Linked DNA regions of Oreochromis niloticus. The protein of the gene in region 1 binds, or shares a complex with, the protein of each later gene. Links are inferred from orthologs where the notes say so. Each region holds a gene or a part of one and is shown on either strand. Other genes may lie near its edges.

Evidence for each region. Proteins that work in one complex are often made in the same cells at the same time.
Region 2: snrpd2 (region 1) and scnm1 share a complex: the UniProt entries of both Homo sapiens proteins name them as parts of the minor spliceosome. The link is inferred for Oreochromis niloticus from reciprocal best matches to the Homo sapiens genes SNRPD2 and SCNM1.

The regions. Positions count from the first base shown.
Region 1 is NC_031979.2:15,053,410-15,063,763, reverse strand, and holds snrpd2 (small nuclear ribonucleoprotein Sm D2), read left to right. Parts: upstream 1-5,807; 5' UTR 5,808-5,953; coding exon 5,954-5,955; intron 5,956-6,828; coding exon 6,829-7,008; intron 7,009-7,713; coding exon 7,714-7,888; 3' UTR 7,889-8,160; downstream 8,161-10,354. Other genes in the region: foxg1c (forkhead box protein G1c), read left to right, coding at 481-1,677. UniProt on the Homo sapiens protein: Plays a role in pre-mRNA splicing as a core component of the spliceosomal U1, U2, U4 and U5 small nuclear ribonucleoproteins (snRNPs), the building blocks of the spliceosome.
Region 2 is NC_031976.2:31,211,721-31,222,094, reverse strand, and holds scnm1 (sodium channel modifier 1), read left to right. Parts: upstream 1-5,484; 5' UTR 5,485-5,618; coding exon 5,619-5,669; intron 5,670-5,845; coding exon 5,846-5,916; intron 5,917-6,009; coding exon 6,010-6,098; intron 6,099-7,475; coding exon 7,476-7,570; intron 7,571-7,911; coding exon 7,912-8,012; intron 8,013-8,099; coding exon 8,100-8,224; intron 8,225-8,310; coding exon 8,311-8,431; intron 8,432-8,553; coding exon 8,554-8,665; 3' UTR 8,666-10,146; downstream 10,147-10,374. Other genes in the region: tnfaip8l2b (tumor necrosis factor, alpha-induced protein 8-like protein 2 B), read left to right, coding at 42-359, 994-1,236; lysmd1 (lysM and putative peptidoglycan-binding domain-containing protein 1), read right to left, coding at 2,677-2,851, 3,381-3,688, 4,710-4,937. UniProt on the Homo sapiens protein: As a component of the minor spliceosome, involved in the splicing of U12-type introns in pre-mRNAs. Plays a role in the regulation of primary cilia length and Hedgehog signaling.

The sequences.
Region 1 (10,354 bases):
GCACAGTGTGTTTGGTATCATGGCACATCCTTTCATTCTCAAATTATTATAGATTTTTCTTTGGAGGGTTTTGATTGGTGCTTATAAAAAAAAAAAAAAACATCATATGAGTCATATTTTAGTGTGTTGCTTTGATTTTATAGATGAAAGGCGTTTAAATCTTCACTGGAATAAATGAATGATCTGTTTAGTAAAATAGACCCGCTTGACTCAAAGTACGGACACATGCGCACAACACGTCCCAGGATGATTCTCTTTTATGTGCAGTTACAAAGTAAATACCAACTCGAGTCGTTTTGGAGGTAACGAGTCCTGAGCTGCTGTGATCATGCGCATTTGTTGTCACGCTGTCTGGCCCGTGCGTCTTTGGCTCTTCACCACTTTGAGTCGACGCATCTTTGCTCTGTGGGTTCAGCGGTACGCTCTCCTGCGCTCTCCGGACAGCTTTGAGAATTTCGAGAGTATTTTTTAACCTTTGGGATGGAGATTGAGGATGTGAAAACTTCAAGCCGATTATTCCACAAGTCTTCATTCAGCATCAGCAGCCTGTTGTGGAGACGAGAAGGAGTGATGGGTGACAAGGAGTCTCCTTCTCAGTCCCAGAAAGTGCGCTCTAACCAGCTTGCAAAAACCAGCCAGGATCAAAACTTTGAAAAGTCAAAAGAATGCGCCAAAGTGGAAACCAAAGCGGGGACTGTAACTGGGAAACGAGAAGGAAATAAGGAAGAATCGAGGGAAACCGGTGGGGCAGAAGAAAGCGTCAAACCCGAGAAACCTCCTTTTAGTTACAACGCGCTCATCATGATGGCGATCCGCCAAAGCCCCGAACGACGGCTCACGCTCAACGGCATCTATGAGTTCATCATGGACAACTTTCCATACTACCGGCAAAACAGACAAGGGTGGCAAAATTCAATCAGGCACAACCTGAGCCTAAACAAGTGTTTCGTGAAAGTGCCGCGCCACTACGACGATCCCGGCAAAGGCAACTACTGGATGCTGGACCCCTGCAGCGAGGACGTCTTCATAGGTGGCACATCGGGAAAACTGCGGCGCAGAGCCGCAGCTGGCTCCAGGGCCAAGCTTGGGTTGAAGAGAGGAGGCGGTCGTGTGATGCCCTCCAGCACTGCAACTAGCGTCACTCTGGCCGCAGCCAGTTCGTTTTACTGGCCGGTTCCGCCGTTTCTACCTCTCCAAGCGCCGGTGCGCACCCACCTTGGCGCGGGGACTTACCTGAGCGCGCACCCTCGCTTCTCCAACCACGCCACGTCGGTGGTCTCACAGCGGGCCCGACTGAGCGCAAACGCTGCGGACGCTGACCGGTTCGTGCAGACGCACCAGGAGATGTCTTACATCGGACTCAGTTGCGCGCAGTCCCGTCGCCACCAGATCGGCGCCGCGTGCACCGCCTTCTCCACCTCCATCCCCGCGTGCACGCTGCCGCTGACAGACCCGTGCTCTTTTAACATGATCTCCGGACAAGCCAGCTACTTTTACTCTCACCACATACCGTGCGCCGCCACGTTTAGTCAAGAGGAGTGCGCCACCTCCAAGACACCAGCGGCGACGTTTTTACCCAAGAGCGGTCACTCAGACCTCGGAGGATGCTGCGGTGACTTTTCAAATTACTGCCCTCAAGTCAGCCCGAGCCCGTCGTCTTGGAATATAGAGAAATAGATAAACAGTCCCGACAGCCAGTATGTGAGATTTGAAACATTGCTGTAGATAGTTTGCTAATTGTTGGAAACAAAAGGCAAAGCCAAAGAATCCCGATGAATGATAAAAATCCTGCAATATTTACCCAAATGTCTGCGTCACAGTGGATGTCTCTAAGTAAAAAAGCGTTAATAGACTTGGATTATTTCTCAGAGTTGCAAAGTTTAAATGACCAAAATAAATGACGCGTGGACTATAAGTCTTAAAATACTTCATCCGACAAACACATTTCCGAAAATGAGCAAAAAAATGTGTTTTTGCATATAATGTAAATCCTAGGATATGCGCGGATATGCGCAGATCATTTTTTAATGCAATTAACGTTCACCGAGTTTGCATCTGCTTCTGAAATTGTACTAGAAAAAATATTATCCTTTGTTAACTTTCCTCATCAATGATTTCCCACATGTATGTTTATTGGTATCAAAAAGTGAAGGGTTTTTTGGCGCATGTCACCAGTTTTGGTTTGAAGGGAGGTGAGAAGAAAACACGATTTTAAACATGAAATAAAATCGAAAAATATATAACTCTTGATGAAGGGATTTGCTTTCTCCAGCATGGTGTCCAACACATTAAAATATTACTTCGAAAAGGTTCCAGCTAAATTTTAAACGAACGGGTGGAACCGGGTTTTTTGGTTTGGTTTTTTGGATTTTTGGATTTTTTAGTCCACTTTTTAAATTATGAGTTTTCAGTTTGGGTGAAAATGCGATGTGAAAATGATACTTAAACTGCTCATTTGCTGCACTTATTGTCTTCGATTTCGTTAATGTTGCAACCATATATATATTACATTCCCATTTTAATGACCTTACATGTAATTAAACGATAAATAATGCATTTTTAATTGTGTTTTCTTTTTACCTCATTAAAAGCTGCTGTTGTTGATTGTTCTTATTTGGCTGTGTTATTAAATGTTTCACTCTGGAGATTTGAGCCCGCACAATAAGAACTATATATAGACTGGATTGAATGTTTTAAGGAAAGGTTGTGAGGCACAGAGGCCTCTGTGTGGGTATGCTCTGAGCCATTCTTTTTTTGTTTATGAACAGTTCCACTAAAAAGGTTTCTCGAGGAGATATCGTGTGGAAAAGGTTGTGATGTAACCTCAACAGGTAGACATGGCATTTCCAGTCGCGCAGATCTTATTGATCTGTCTTGTGTTTCAACCTGCGCTGACATCACTGCCTGTTAAACTTTCCCTCACCTCTCCTCCCTGCTGCACCCTGGAGATTTAAATTAATAGATGTATGTGGATGCAGATTAGAGCAGCTGTCTCTTTTAAACAAAGGGTTCTTTATCAAAAACATAAATAGAAAGAAAAAAAAACCTCACCACCTTTCCAAAGCCAGCCACATCCACAGTCACCTGTGGTTAAAGCAGACCGGGCTGGATCAGGTAACTCACTGTCTAGATAGATACAAAAGATAATATTTACACTTTGGCATGAAGCACTGTGGCACTGTGGTGTGCAGAGCAGCAAGGGGGGGGGGGCTTAGCTGTGAAGCAACAAGCTTTTGGTGCAAAGTATCCTGAGGCAGGAGTAAGAAGATACTGTTTGCTGTTAGTGCAATAAATAACATGTTTAGTTTGACAGCTCTACTAATAACCATAGAGCTATAATTCACCCTGCTACAATAAGGTTTCGCTGGTTTTTGGTGTGCAGGAAGCTGCAGAAATGTAGAAATTATGATGGCTTTTTCAAAACCAATCAAAAGTTTTAAAAAAAAAACTCTTTAGTTATCATCTCTTTCTGCTCAAATTTCAGTTTTCAGATACATTTTTTAAAATGTACAACAAAATGTAAAGTGGGAATAACACCTCTGTTTGTTCTGTTTGATTTGGGTGAGTAGGAAAGGGTCTTTGAAGACCCTCACGTATCTGCATTTGTTGTTCCCTTAAAATTAGGTTGGAATTCAGTTGCTGAGCATGAAGCAGTCCATGCCAGACCTTCGACTTCTCCCTCCACATCATTTCTGTTTGGAGAAACAGAGCAGCTCTTTAAAGCCACTGAACATTCTGCATCAGTATGTCTCAAAGTGCACCTGTTTGACGATCAACATCAGCATCAGTGTTTGCCAGCTTGTTTCTCCCACGCTGCAAAATTTTCAGGCTCTGTTTAAGCTCCAGTATTTTCTGTCAAAAAGAAACCTTGTTACCACAAGTTACCACAAATTCTTCTTCTTCTTATTATTATTATTATAAATCAAACAGATTTAACAGATTTTTGTTGTGCACTGAAAAAGAGCTTAAAAAACACTTATGGGAGAGGGTGGCTATCCGTCTGTGCCCGGCATGTCCTTGTTCAGTGTAAGGTGTTGTACAGGTTCAGTTTCACTAACATTAGACTCTAAATCCTTTCCAAATGTAGAGTCAATCTGTCATACCCACACCTCTTTGGCACACGCTTTCTGGAGGTGTCCTAACGTGTTCACGTGTTTGAACTCAGTCTTCAAAGTGCTGTCAGATATTTTTTTCAGACTAGTAATTCAGTCTGACTCTTTCACCATATTTGGGATTTTGGGTGAGAATAATAACCTTCCTGTAAATGAAGTGCAAATAACAAAAGTTGCCACCTTGTGCTGCTTGAGGGAAGTGATGCAAACTTAAGATATTAAGATTTACAGTATGTCCACAATATATTTTGATAAATCTGAGGGAATTGTAAATCCTTTAAAATCCTGTTCACTTTCTTGCAGGTCTATCCATTTTCTTAGAAACACAATCCAATTAAATGAATCTTACAGTTACTTTGTGCATCTGCATGTCTGTTAATGTGTATGTTTTGCTTTATTTTTTGTTCTCACTGTTCTGTCTGTTTTGAAAGCCAATAAAATTTAGGTTAACAAAAAGGAAACTTTACTTTTTCTACTTGGCTGTTTCACATATTTTCTTCTTGTCTTTTTGGTTAGTTACTGAGTATTTGCCTGCTCTCTTAACTGAACAAAGTCTTTCCAGACTCCCACTTTTCCGTTTCATGTATATGAGCTCATTTTACACCACAGTTTAGGATGCAAGACTTTTGGCTGAGCTAGGTGTGCTCCATAAAGATGTAGCCCAGCAGCGCTGGTAATCGATCCCAGTCAATCACACTCCCCTCCCTCAGCAGCACACAGGCTGCCATTATCTGCAGCAAGTGCTTTCGACAGGTAGATCTGCCACCACTGAAACAAGGTGGGTGGGTTGGACACCTATAGGCGTCTGTCTGTCTCTTGCCAGAAAGCCAATCTCCCTCTCTCAGACATAGACGTGCTCTTTTTACTCGTTCTTGTTGTACCGAAGAGCAAAACAATGACTTAACTGTTTGAGTCTGCATATCAGTTTGACTGCTCTCTGATTTATTTCTTTTATCCTATAACATCTTCTTAAGAGGTCTGAGTTATATTGAGTCCCAAACCGTTATTATTATTATTATTATCATTATTATTATTATTATTATTGTTATTATTATTAGAGTATCAGTATTCTTTGCAGAAAAAAACATAAAATTGCTCTATTCCCTATAATAAGAAAATTATGCTTTTAAACTGAAAGACAATTTGAGCATGCTTACATAAGAATTTATCCTGTATTTAATATGTTAACAGTGATGTCAATTTTATATGTATATACCATATTTTACTACACGTAATCTCATGGGCTTACTATAAAAGTTAAAACCATTTAAAATTTTTATGAACTAATAGAAGGATTTATAGTTTATTCTGTACTCAACTGGGAGCCAATGAAGTGACTTAATGTGAGGACTCTTATCAAACTATATGATTACCAAAACTGACTATCCAAAAAAAAAATGCCAGGGTTCCTGATGCGCTCATTGTGTTTCAGAAAATTGGATGATAAATACGATGAAATGTTCTGTCTCTGATTTTCTGGACTAACAACAAATATTTGTCTTACCTCTTAAAATTCAGCAATTAATGTGTCATTAGTTTGTGAACAGGATAGATCATCGGAGTAGAATAATAAAATCATATCTAGTCAGCTTTTAGAGGCAGTCTATTGAATAAAATGTAAAATATAATGCAATTAATGATGGAAACGGTGTGTTTCAGATTGACTTTTTTGTACCGTTCAGTTAGCCTGTAGTAACCCGGTAGTTGTAGCGGCGTTTTTGAAGCGCCTTCCAATAGACCCGGAAGTAGTTTGATCCACGCGAGCCATACGGAATCGTTGCAGAGCGAGCTGAAAACGACCGAATTGTTACAGAGTGAGCTGAAAACGACCTAAAGAAATCATGTAAGTGTCTGTGATGATCAGCTATTGTTGTGAGAGACTGGTTATTCTTTCAGACACTGAAATCCGCTAACAGCGAGCATTTAAAAGGCTAACATTGTTAGCCTTTCTGCTACCCGGGCCGGTTAGCTTGATGTGCTTGATTCTTTGTAGACGCTTTCGGAGCTCTCCCTTTTCATAACTAGCTGTGTTACAGATTTGTTGTAGTTACATCAAAAGTAGTTCGTACATCTGGTCTTCCTTGTTGTACAGTTTAAAAATACTGATTCCGAAATCAGACTATAGCGTAAATGCTAGTTTGCTAAATGCTAACAAGAAACAAAGTGTGTGAGCGTGCGTTTTCATGCTGGTAACTAATTGCGACCTGTAGCAGTCTAGTGACGTAAAAATTATTATTTTTTTAAATAGTTTAAAGCATAAAAGTCCCCAAACATGTCCCAAAATATGACCCACTGAAGCTTTTAAATGGCTAGGTTTAAGCTTCAGTGTGTTGTGTGTGTGCTGTCTGATAAATGCATCTGTGCTCAATACCAATTTTACAGGTGTAGCGAGACATTTTACTTTGTGTACCGTGTACAGTTTAAGTTTTCCACTTAACTTTTTTTCAGTAAGTAGTCACACAACAAATAATGAATAAATTCCAGCAAAATTTCCTAATAATAAAAAAAAATATCAAAATGTATAATTAGTCTATCTGTACCTGAGCTGTGGCAACGCACAGATTTCCCTGCTGTGGGATCAATAAAGTCTTGTGTTATCTTAATAACAAAAAACCTCCAATAGTACTACTTTACTATTTCAAATATATGCCACTGTTATTGTCACACTCACTTATTAGGATACTGTTATGATGTTGTCTCATTGTTTCATTTGCAGGAGCCTCTTAACAAAGCCCAAGTCAGAGATGACCCCTGAAGAGCTTCAGAAGCGAGAGGAGGAGGAGTTCAACACCGGCCCCCTCTCAGTCCTCACGCAGTCAGTGAAGAACAACACGCAGGTCCTTATAAACTGTCGCAACAATAAGAAGCTGCTCGGAAGAGTCAAGGCTTTTGACAGGTACCGAATTGGACATTTATTTAGTATTTAACACTCTTGAGGGTATAATGTGAGACTTACTTGTTTATATCAGTGTGTTTTATATCTTGTTTCTTTTGTCTGTTTTGTTAGATTTAAGCCTTTATTTCATTATTATTGCTAGCCACTGGTGATAACATGTTATCGTGTCACTTTGGTCCCTTTTTAGTATTCACTCGTTTCTTATTTTTCTCCATTGGAGTCACATTTAGCACCTTTAATTTATTATGAAATATTGCCCTGTCTTAAAGGTAAAAGTAACCAAACACATTTAGTTTGTAATTGTTGTATAATGTTGCTGGAACATTGTCCTCAGGCACATACAATCATTTTAATGAGCTGGTTTACTCACCTAATGAGTGAAAGATCCGCCAACTCCTATTGACGTTCCATCAGAAAGATCTGTTATAGAAATTGAAACATACAGAACTACCCACCGGAGTAACCCATTGTGAATGAGGTAGCAGCTGAAAAGTAGTTTTTGTTTTGTTTTTTCCATTTTAGGTATAATATTTATTTATCATTTCTTCTGATACTGCAGAAGATTTAAAAAAAAAAAAAAAAATCACAGAACATGTACATGTAAATGCATATGTATGAGTACCTGAGTAAAATCACAGGTATTTTATTTATGTATGCATTTATTTTCTCTAACTTGCTAACATTACATCCTCACCGGCATTTCAGGCATTGCAACATGGTCTTGGAGAACGTGAAGGAGATGTGGACAGAAGTTCCGAAGAGCGGGAAGGGAAAGAAGAAGTCGAAGCCCGTAAATAAGGACCGCTACATTTCTAAAATGTTCCTCAGGGGGGATTCTGTCATCGTGGTGCTGAGAAATCCTCTGATCACAGGAAAATGAACTCTCTGAACCGCTCACCTATTCTTTTCTTTTTTTTTTCTTACACTTCCTCAAGGCAATTGATTGTAGTTGCCGTAACCTTATTTGTTTTGATTTTGATGTTGGATCACTGAATTCACTATTAAGACAGAAAACGTGTCATCAAAAAGATGTTTCTCCCATTTTGACTGTCATTTAAAATGTTAGGCATGAAAGTGACCAATTTTTTTCTTTGTCTGCGGAGCTTTTCTGTCTTTTTCATTTTCATAATAAAAGTGATGAAGAGATGAAAACATTGTGCAGATATTTTTACAGCTTTTAGAGTGTATGTAGTTTACATTACACAAATGTAGACTAGTCTTTATATTATTAATTTCTCTGACAAAAACTGGTTTTATGTTTTCAGATTGTCTGTTTATCCCATTCTCAAGAATTCAGTATTTCAGCTTCATCACATTTGGTACATCTATTTATGTTCACTTGGGCTAAAAATCAACATCCCTGAACACAAAAAACATTTTGGCTCCAACTAAAGAATTAATTTAATAATCCCTGCACGGTTTCACACAAACATCTGACTTGGTCTTTAACTTTACCAGTAATTAAAATGATGATGTGATAAACTTGAATAACCATAACATTTACAGTGACACCATAACGTCTCGCCAAAAAAGAAAAAGAACTTTGCTTATTATTCACGGCCAGAACACAGAAACAAACAGGAGGATTTTTATCTGTATTTTAGATTTGTTCTGACACAAAAAGGTGACTTTAATCTTTGTCGCCCACTTGAAGTCCCTGAAAGTCTTTTTTACGTATCAGTTTGGACGGATGTTTCTATAAAGTTCAACTTCACTAATCGACGAGCACATACACTCATGAGGTTGTACTTGGTGGTATTTTGTAGCGCTCATTCAGTGCAGTCATTGAAAAGTTATTTCTCCTTGCCAGCCTCCCCCTCCCCTTCTCCTCCTCATCCTCCTCCTTCCACTGTCACCCTTTCACTCTCCCCTGACAGCATCTAAGGTGTCGGGCTTGATTTCAGTCAGCAGCGCTCAATAAGCGACAAACTGCCGTTTAAAGGCCCGCTGCATTATTGATGAGACCAGATGTGCTGACTGTCACTTCACACCCTCATCTCTCTCCATTTCGAGCCGTTCCATCTCTGCCGCTCGGCCCCTCCTGACCACTTTGTTAATTGTCTTAATAGCTCGACAGCTAGTGTCGCCTTACTTCTCCCTACCAGTTGGCATCTAACCTCTGCTCTGTGGTGCTCTCATATTCAGTGGTTACATAGATGAAATGCTTGTTTGTGTATTTTATAGTATTCTGCGAAGGGTGGGGGGGGTCGTTGAGAATTGCATGCCTCTGATTTCTGAATCATTCCTCTTGTTTTATCTGATGGAACCTCATGAAAAAATTGCTAAATATGTTTACAGAACTATCCTGAATTTTCTGCTGTCATCCTAACATCTTGACCTCTGTTTTATAATTTATGTCACTTTGCACTCTCACTGTTAACACTGCGCCTATCAGCCCAGCACCTGTGGAGTATCTGTGTGAGGGCAACAAGTCGTCACTGATTTACAGCTCTCAGGTGAAGCCTGCTGGGTGAGTCAACGGGAGAGTCGGGCTTAGCACTTTATGTGAAATGTAGTGAACTTCTGTGACTGCTCTGATAGCTATTGCACTAATGCTTCTGGCAAATCCAAGTTTGAGATCATGTTGCGGAGGCCGGAAAATAGACGAGTTGTTTCATAGTCAGCCCAAGGGCACACAGCAGCTGTTCAGGGCCCCGCGGCAACCAGGAGGCCCCCAAAAGATCTGCTCCTTTTTTCTGTAGTTCAGATTTACCCACGTTGTAGATCAAGTAGTAAACCATCCAAAACATGTATATGATAGGGACACTTTCACTTAGAAATCAGTTTGATGTGAGAGTCGGTAATCCACGCATCAAACATGACAGATAATGCAAGTGGCAGGGATTTTCTATTTTTCCCTTGTTGTTAGCTTACCCATATTTAAATCCACAAAAAAAAGATTTTAAGCATGAAAATAAATAAATCAGCTCATTTTCATTCACCCTCATTTATTTTTTTGTGGGCCAAATCTAATGGTTAACAGGGTGAAACTGGAAGCATTATATCCATTTTTATAAACATAATAAAAGATTACTACGACAGTTACAGCAGCAACCCAGAACAGTGACCCTTCTGTTTAAGCTGAGAATCTGAGTGAAAGACCTCATTCATACAGACTAAATCCATGGCTCTGTGCTATATGCATCACTTCCACCAGTTTAATTATGCTGTTTGTCAAATATACAAGGAGTTAAAATGTATATGCTTGACAAAACCGTTGAAACCAATATTTCAGCTCTAATTTTAGCCTGGCGCTAGTAATGTCACGACAAATAGGGTCACGGCAAGAACAATCAGTTTTGCCCTTTTGCACAAAGCAATCTGATCACCTTTGTAGGGCGATCCA
Region 2 (10,374 bases), on another chromosome or scaffold:
AAATGAAAAATTCAATTCATTTTCTTCATAATTCAGGCACAATGGATGCGTTCAATGCCAAGGACATGGCCATGAAGGCACAGAAGAAGATCCTCAGCAGCATGGCCACAAAAAGCTCTGTACAAATGTTCATTGATGACACCACCAGTGAGATCCTAGATGAACTGTACCGGGTCTCCAGAGACTACTTGGGAAATAAATCAGAGGCTCAGAAAGTCATCAAAGACCTCATCAAGATTGCAGTCAAGATCGGCGTCCTTTTCAGGAACAACCGCTTCAGCACAGAAGAGCTGGCAGTGGCCCAAGACTTTAAGAAGAAGCTCCACCAGGGAGCAATGACAGCTATCAGTTTCTATGAGGTACACTTCCCAACTTAAAAATTTTAATGCATGATGTATAAGTAGGCATACATCACCTGAAAGAAAATTGTGCTAATGCACATGTTTTCTAGCTCCAACTGCAAAAGAATGCCAATTACTCTCAAATGGGAAAAATGTTTTGTGCACAGCATGAACTTCAAGGCTGGGAAATCAGGCAACTTCAAGAGTTGCTTGACCTTAGTTTTTCCACAATAAATGCAATTTGCAGTTGTGTTAACATTTCCAATTAAAACAGATAAATATATTAATCACATAGCATCAAAATGTCCAGGTTAGTTCATTGTTGAATATGATTCTCTTCTGCATCAACGTGTGGCTCAGACATTGCTTTAAAGGGTTGCTTGTTTTATTTCAGTTCCACATAATCAAGTGCTTGTTTCTCTGCTTTGGTAATGTGAGAGAACAATAAGTTGATATTGAAACTTCTGTATTGGGATTAAAATTGAATATGCAAGAAAGATTAAGATAACGAAAATATGCAACCTCTAAGACGTCTTTAAACCTGGTAGAATATTCATACATCATATCCTGCTACTTCACAGTCATGTTAAGATATTAAACAATTCTACTTGTATGAAATTCCTAACATGAATGCATGTCTTGTCTGATGCAGGTGGACTTTACCTTTGAAAAAACAGTGATGGCAGACATCCTGACCAGCTGCAGGGATCTGCTGCTGAAACTGGTCAACACCCACCTCACCACTAAATCTCATGGTCGCATCAACCATGTCTTCAACCATTACTCCGACCCACAGCTCCTGACCCAACTGTACAACCCTGATGGGCCCTTCAGACCCAACCTCACCAAGATCTGTAAAGGACTGAATAAACTAGTGGAAGATGGGACAATATGACATCAGAACTAAATTTCAGACAGACACTGGGAGATCAACAGACAGACTCAACTAGGACTCTGAACTGCTTGTTTTTCTGTTACTGAGGACTGGCAACATAAAACAAGTCATTTGAGAACCAACCTGCTTTCCCATAGTTCTCAAAGAACATGTGGGATACAAATAAAGCTTTGTGGAGTCATTCAAGTTTTTGATATTTTGGGGCCATAAATATATATTATGTAAGTGATGCTAATTTTCTATTCAGACAGTGTCCAAAGAAAACAAACTTGAAATTAAACAGATATATTGTGCATTGATTATTTTACTAGCATACAAAATATCATCTAATATTTGTGACTTTGAAATGTATTATTCAGAACTACTGATATTATGCATTATAATCACTGATATGAATCAGCTGGACAGATGCATAAGCAAGTTAGGCCTGGGAACAGTACCACTATAGTACACCACTGCCATCTGGTGGTTAAGATGATGCTTCTGCAGCAACAAACTGTATTTACTGAGGTGTCCAGACAACAATCAAGCCAAAAATAAAGATAATGACCCCAGAGTGCACAATTACTGCGACCATGACTGTATTTTAAAAACATGTTTAGATCAACAAAAAGACAGACTCTTTACTCATGACTGCTTGAACAGCCAATCTATAATTCATGATTTTTGGATCACAGTAGGGCTTAAAAATGTTTTAATTCATTGGTCTATTGGCTATTCATTGGTCTTACACGGCAGTTAAAATGGATAAAAATCAACTCCAATTGGACATTAAATCTCACATAACAGCTAAATCTGCATGTTATACTAAAAGATATTTGTTAGCAGTAATGTGAATAAATGTCATTTAACATGGGATAAAAATATTTATTTTAAAACAAAAAATACAAAATTGAGAAGACATTAGAAATATAACCTTAACAACACAATTATTGCAATGAAATATTATAAAGCCTACAAAATGTTTTCTTGCATTTTCAGCAGTAATAGAAAAACCATCATTCTAATCAGTTTATTGTCATCATCATTATTACAGTAAACGTAACTTGTGTTTAAGATTCCATTTCCTAAGGTTACAAGTCTGAAAATATGAGGCAATTACACACAAACCCCTTTTGTGTTGACCATATGATCATCTGACTAAATATGATTGATTTTTCATTTTTCAAATTTCAAGTTTCCATTTCCTGGATGTGAATAGTCATATGAAGCTTTTCACAACCTACAGTATGTCTCACCAAATAAATAACAAGTCTACAATTGTGCAATATAATTTTTTTTAAATGGAAGTGTAAAAACACTTTTATGCTTTAGGCAGCAGCGGGATCACCGGGGATTCCTTTTCATTCCTTTATCCGTAACGCTCCGTTATCCTGGAGATCAAACAGCGCATCACGGCTCCCTGCGAAAGTTCCATTAATGTTCTGAGTGACAGACATGTCACAGTTCAAAGATTTCATCTTCCTTGTCTCTCAGTTTCTTGGTCAGTTTGGTGACAGTGAGCGGTACTGTCCCATGTACTGCCATCCTGGAAGATGAAATGACACTCTGTGACCTCGTAAGCGGCCGGCAATCTGATGTCCTGTTGTTGCAAGTTGCTTCTAGTGTAGCAACCCTGGTAAATAAAAAAAATATATAACAGAGCAAGTCATTCACAGTGTACTGATCTTAGGCTAAATTGATTGATATTCTTAAAAAATAAAAAAAAATAAAAATAATCGCTGTTGCACTGGTACTATCACCAGGTCATTACAAATTAAATTCAAAGTAGCTATTAAGCATTGGGAATCTTTTGAACAGCCACATTGTGAGTGGTTGATGAAATACTAAGAAGGCCAGAAAGGTGGATGACTATACTTGACATGACAATCTAGGTTAAACTGACCACCAGATACTATCCATGTATATCTATGCTTAACATCAAAATGCGTGTATTTAACCATGACCTCAACATTGTTTACACATCAGTGAAGGTACAATATTCTCAGCGACATGACTAAAAACATATCCATAAGCAGGACCAACTGATCTAACTATTAGTGACTTAAATACGAAGAGGGTAAGTCTCTGTAATGCTACAAATGACCCTGACTGGACAACAACTGTGCAAAGAAAAGAGCAACCAGCGACAGGCACAGTTATACCTTTTCTCTGCTTCCTGGCATCCTTTGACTGCAGCCTGCTTGGACTGGCTTATCAAGTCATCCAACCTTTTCAAAAAATCCCCAGGAGTGAGATCTTTTCTGTCTTCTTGATTTTTCTCAGAGGAACTCCCTGTGTGTCCATTGTGAAGCGAAGCAGAGTTAGCACTGCCTTTGTTGCCGTCCTCCTCAGCCACATCCAGCCCTTTACTGCAGTCGTCCAGGTCTGCTATCACAGGGATTGTCAAAGACTTCTTCAGGAATATTGAGTCATTGGTGTACAGCCTGTTTGCTCTTTTGATTTGCTCCATCTGAAAGAGAAAATGTCCTTGTGAACCTTATGTTAATTAGTATTAGACTTGGCTAAATCAAGTCTCACTTTTACCGAGATCAGTAGGCAGACAGCAAACCAAATAAATACATGCCATTTTAAGGCAAGCACTTTTTCATAGTATGCCCTAACAGCTGAATAAACAATTTAATTATGTAGTTGAACGTTTTTGTTGAACCACTGAGATAACCCTACCTCAATAAATATGAAAATAAAACAATAAGAAATGTGATTATTCACCCACATTTACATTTCAGTATTGGTAAATCAAGTATTCAGTTAGAAGACATCATATCGCAACAAGTAAATTTCAACATAAGCTTAACATGACATCGTGGTTTGGGAACAGCTGTGTGAAGGACCAAAAAGCTCTCCAGAGATTGATCCGTACAGCAGAACGCTGCTGCAGGATTGCTCTCCCCCCGCTTCAGGACACCTACACCAGGAGATGCCGGACTAGAGCAACGCAGATACTGAAGGACCCGTCCCATCCTGGCAACAAACTGTTCCAACTTCTACAATCTACAAGAGGAGCTTCTATCCTCAAGCCATCGGCCCTAAACCAACACCCCCCCCCACCCACCCACACACACACACACACACACACACACACACACACACACACACACACACGCCCTCTCACATCATCTATAATTGACTGAGACTTTCCTCCAGACACTCATTTCCTTTAACTTTAAATATGTTTATATTGTCCATTCTGTAAAATAGTCAGATGTCTATTCATATTAATGTACAGAATTGACCTGCTTGCTGCTACTACTGCACATTCACCCAATGTATATTTATAATGTTATTCCTCTACCCCCCCTCCCTTTTTGCACATGTCGAGGAGCGTGTCAGGATACATTTCACTCTGTGTTATACTTGTATAACTATGCATGTGACAAATAAAGAACCTTGAACCTGAACTGTTAAAGGCGCAAGAAATAAATACTTTAACTAATTCAGTCTCAGAGTCAAACCAACACAGTCATACTCACAGACACTCCATACTTCAGCGCCAGGCCTTGCAGTGTCTCTCCCGGCTGAATTATATGTTCAATACGTCTCTGGTGCACCGGGGACAGCGGAGATCGGATCAAACTGCCGTAAGATCTTGTGCGGCTCCCTCGGAGTAGGCCGTCTCCTCCAGCTGGTAGTGGAGCTCGCTCCTCTGACATTGTCGTAAAACACTTATATTGTTCTTTTTTTGTGTGGTAAACAACCATGTGGGCCTAAAATGCGCTTACCAGCGAACTTCACTGCTGTTAACATCTTCACAATAATGGCTTCCGCTTTAGCCCATAATTATCAAACTAGCAGCTTAGTTAGCCTGCTAGCTAAGGCTATCAACTTAATTAACGTCGTCGCTCGTTATTTGTTCCAAGCGTTCAATCTTTTCTCCAAAATGACAGCCGTTTAAACTATATAGAAAGTTTCTTGGATTACAAATATAACGTACCTTATCTGTCAAATACACAACTAAAAGTCGCTGAAAAACTTGTTTTCAAAACTCTTGCAGTCAGCTGTCTACAGCCATATGTTGCCATGGCTGCCGTGTTCACTGACTAGTCCTATGATTCGCCACAACGCGTTGCATTAAAGACTGTAGGGGAAAAATTTGCGTTTTATATTAAGTTGATATAGTTTGTTTCACAAATTGAGCAAATACAAACTATAGCCACAAATCGAGCTTTCAAATGACTATGCGGACTTTATATTATAAAAACCAGCAGATATCGTTGTAGTTCCGATAGCCGAAACAATTATCCACCTCAAAGATGAGCACAGGTCTATATTTCCTATCTTCCGTTTGTCCATGAATGCAGCATTGCTATTAGCTTATATATTATAGCCAAGAAGCTACGCTGCTACTCAGATTAGTTTTTATATTATTGATCATAACAATTATGTCCTTTAAAAGAGAAGGTGACGATAAAAGCCAGCTGAATCTCCTTAAGGTACGGATCAATTTGCAGCATTTTATGTTGGCTTAATAACAGAGACTTCAGCTAAGAGCACACATGTGGCTAGTGTTAGCATCTTTAAGCTAACAACATACTGTAGTTATTACTTTGGGAAATAAAATTGTAGTAAAACTTACATACTATCTAACGTTATTCGCTTCGTTTTACAGAAACGTCGTGTGGCAGACCTTTTGTCTAATTTTATTCCAGAAGATGAGGCTGCTCTTATGAAAAATGGAAGGTGGAGTGAACTTCAAAACATTGATATGTTTGGGAAAGACAAACTTGTGTAGCTAACGGCATGTTTAGTTTAATTTCTCCCCGTATCTTATAGGTACACTTGCCTTGTGTGTTCCTACCGTCCTGTGTTTGATACAGTCGACATGTTGACAGTCCACAGAAAAGGAAAGAGGCATCTAGACGGTGAGCACCTTTAACCTGCAAAGTTATTTAAAGCAACTAAGTTAGTACGTGGGCTCGTACCCCGGGGACCTAGCGGACCTGAAGTTTCGGCCCCAGTCTTATTAAGAAGCGCTGTATCAAGGGTTAGCCATCTGCACACCATTTCTATCCCTTGTCTTTCGCCCTATTTATTGAGACAGTACCCCATATTTTAAATGACTCTGCATTTCTAAAGTCAATGCTGCAGGACAGGCACTTTTATGAGGTCGAGCTATCATCTGAGGTGCTGTGAAGTGCAGGTTAATATGCCATCCTTGCTACATATGCTACACAAAATCAGAGGAGTACAGATGCATAAACTATGCATATTAATAGAATCTGCTCAAAAATAAAATACAACACTGAAGACTGAAAAGCTACTTGTGAGAGGGAGAAGCTACATAACTAACTGAGGATCAAAGAAAGAGATGCGCTGGTCAGTAGTTATGTCCTCATCAGGCAAAACAACAGCCAACACAAGACCTGTATTGTAATTTGATGCAGCAGTTGAAAACCCAACTGAGTAAATGAATAAACTCAATAAAACTCAAAAGCAGCAGTCAAGGGGAAATTTTGCATTGCATTTGCAGATAATCAAGTCAAGTTAACAAAGAGTTGAAATATTGGAAAGTTCAATAGTTTTTGGATTGCGTCATTGGTTAGCTGTTTTTGTGTGTCTTTTCTAATGCTGCGTCACAAAGAGTAGTTTTGGTTTTCAAATTATCTGGATTTGATATCCCGTCATTATTTGGAAGAATTAAAAACCCAAACGATGATACATTGTAGCACTTTTTCACACTAAAACTGCATATTTACAAGTACATAGGGATAAGTAAAAATTTCATGCTTTTGAATTTGTTAGTTTTTCCATCACTTTGAATGGCTGTCAAACAAATTGTACTCTTTAAGTGTCAGAGTGTTGTACAACTATCTAATTTTTCTTCACCAGGTTTTTTTTTTTTTTTTTTTTTTAACATCCAACTTTCCTCATTCGGAAAAGCAAAACTCTGTCTGTTGTCTCTTACACAAACAATTAAAGACAAGCATTTGTACCCTGGAAGTTTTCTTTATTTTCTGATGATTCACTTGAAAAAATTCCGGAAAGTGTATTTTGAATAAGGGTATCACCGTATAACATGTATGTTAGATAAGTTACAGCATATAAAAAGTGTTGTTTTTACCTACATTTCGATACCAGTTTAATTTCTACAGTATGAAGGTAAAGTTTTGCATGTCTTCATTGTATATACCAAACTTGCTGTACTTCAAAGGGAAACGAGTATGACTTTTTTTTCAGGTTTGGTTCAGTTTACATTGACTTTTTAGTAAACCCAGTTGTTTGTTGTGTGTTCTACTCAGGGCTAAAAGCATTTTATGGCAAGAAAGCACGGCTGAAGAATGAAATAACAAAACGGCAACATGAAAACTACGTCGAGGCTGAAGAAAAAAGGCAGGTTGGTAACTATTAATCATGCTTTCTCTGTCAAGTTCACAAGTCTGTCATAGCCAACAGAAAAAATCTGTGTGTTTAACAAAGCAACAACAGATGAGAACCAGCCGGGTCATTCTGCCAGCAGACGGTCAATGAATCATCACAGGAAAAACATCACGAGCTCAACAGATGTAATCTTTCTTTACTGCATGACATTGTTATTCCATGTTGTTGTCTCCTGTTAAATCACTTATGTGGTGCCCGTGTGACTACCATATGACTCTAACAAATTACACCTTACTAAACAATTCAGTGTAGTTGTGTAATGGTGGAAAATATGAGCCACTCTTGTTGTGATTTCAGGAGCCCTCCAGTTCAGCCCCATTACTAGCACAAACACGGAAGCTCACCCATCATGCTTTGCTGAAAACTGTACCATATAACAGCTGTCATAGAAAAACCAGGTGAGTGATTACTTGGTATGAGAGTTGTCTGTATTTGAAGCCATACAATGAAAAACACAATTTAAATTATTTGTCATTCTTTTTAAGCACAAAATCTGAAAAAGTGACAGCAAGCACCAGCTCAGACCCCAGTGACAACATGACATCTGCATGCTGGGAATCTGGCATTTCAGTGAACACGTCACAAAGCAACTCTACTGTCTGTTCAACAGGTAAGGTCTGCTAGAGGAAATGTTTTATTGTCAGCTTTTATTTTGAGCAAACCTTGGTCATGATTTTGCCTGAACTCTTTTTGTAGCCAATAAAGAGCCACATCCATCAAAAGATACGGCCGAATCTCAGGCTGCAGAGACACAGGAGGCTGAACCCATCACTGCCCAGAGGAAGAGAGAGCTGGAGCACTACCTCAAACTGAAAAGGTGCCTAAATGTTGTGGGACTTTCACTTTCTAATGTTGTACATTTTCACTACTTTTTAGCAGATTATTAGATTTTCAGTGCATTTTATCTATTTTTTTGTTGTTGTTGTTATTTTTTCATAGTGATGGGTGGCTGCAAGACCACAGCGGCAAGTGGGTTAAAGACGAGAATGTCGAGTTTGATTCAGATGAGGAAGAGCCGCTTACCCTTGCCCCTGTGCCTGCAAATCAATGACAGCACTTAGAATGGTGTGGAAGCACAGATGAAATTTGTACCACAGTGGTACGTTCACGAGGCACAGTGCTGCATAAAACAGACACAGCTCCATGTGAAAAGAGTTTATTTAACACATTTATTCTGTTCGTGAACCTTTTATGTTGTTTTAATCTACTGAGTCTTCAGCGGCTATTTCTTCCATCCAGGATGTAATCAGTGGAGGTTGCTACAGAGTCAGTCTTTATTCAAGTGTAATCTTTGACCAGACAACTTTTCATATCCAGTTATATTTTATGCTTAAGGCTGAACCTTTGTTGGCTTATCATAGTCCACCCTGAAAATACATTTAGAGTTGGGGGAAAGTGATAAGAATTAACCAATGGTCTCTGAATTTGAGTACTTATATTATCTAACAGCTTACTTTACACCCATAAAGAGTCCTGAATGGAAGAGTCTGAAATCGTTTACAGCTGTGAAAGAGACAAACCACTCATGTTACCGGCACTTTTCCTTAAAATGTTGTGTGTGACTATTTTTTGTTACATTAAATCCAACACCACTGTTCCAATCTGTTGAAAAGATTTGTGCAATGTGACCTCTGCTTGTGACATGAGCATTCTTAGTGTACCTAGAACCCTCCCTCCACCCAGACAGGTTGTGCTACTTCATGCGGGAAGAGCAAGTTTGTCCCAAAGATGTGTTAAGATTTGTCTCTTTTGTCTGCTGCATGTTTGTTTCTCTACTTGCACAAGCAGATTAAGGTAACATCAGGGTTCTGGGAAATGTGATTTTGGAAATATTCATATTCAATACGACTGACCAAACTCTTCATGTTATTAAGAAGTTGGAAAATATTCAAATTGGCATTTGCCTGATTATCTGGCAGGAATTCAGACCATGTTTAAAATCTGTATAGAATTTATACATTAAAACATCTGCCTTAGCTTTAAAGCCATAAAGATTAAGACTGAAAAAGTCATCCTGGACTCTTGAACAACTTTCTTTTTTTATAGTGACTCACTCACAAAACATTGTCCCAACATATGCGATAGCTTTGTTTTTTACAACTTGTTGTTATTGTGATGTAGTTGGGGGTTTGTGTTCGTTAAATGAAATTAGTTTTATAATTGTTTATTATTGTTTATTCATGATCACCACAGTGGTCTTTTGCAAAAACATCCTGCCTGAACATGAAACATCTTGGAAGTCTGGAAGGACTGGATAGACTGTCATGCTCAGCGACATTAGCCTTACATCTTTTTCATGGCTCCTCTAGAATGAAAGAAGCGGGTTTAAAAGCTCAGGCAGCAATTTTCAGCTGAACTTCTCCTGACCTTTATAATTATTGTGACTATTTTCATTACCCTTTTCTTGTCCATTGTGTCCTTTCCATTTGAGTTCAGTGAGCTCTGATAGGATCAATTCTCAGCCAGCTTTCCTATAAATCAGCAGCAGATTGGCTGTATTGGTGCTAATCTGTGCGTTCGTTCAAAGCTCCTCTCAGCACAGTTGGTATAAATTGGATAACATCAGGGTCAGTGGAAGGGGGCAAAGGGACTTAACATGGGTTAGTTTCTGATGACATGGCTAATATGTTTCAGAAGCTCACTCACTTCATTAGTTTGGAGTTAAGAGCGTCACCACGGTCTTAAAAAGTCTCTGTAGGGATTTGGAAGTATGTTAGAACGTTTTAAGACAAATTCAAATCTGATATTTCAGTATTACTG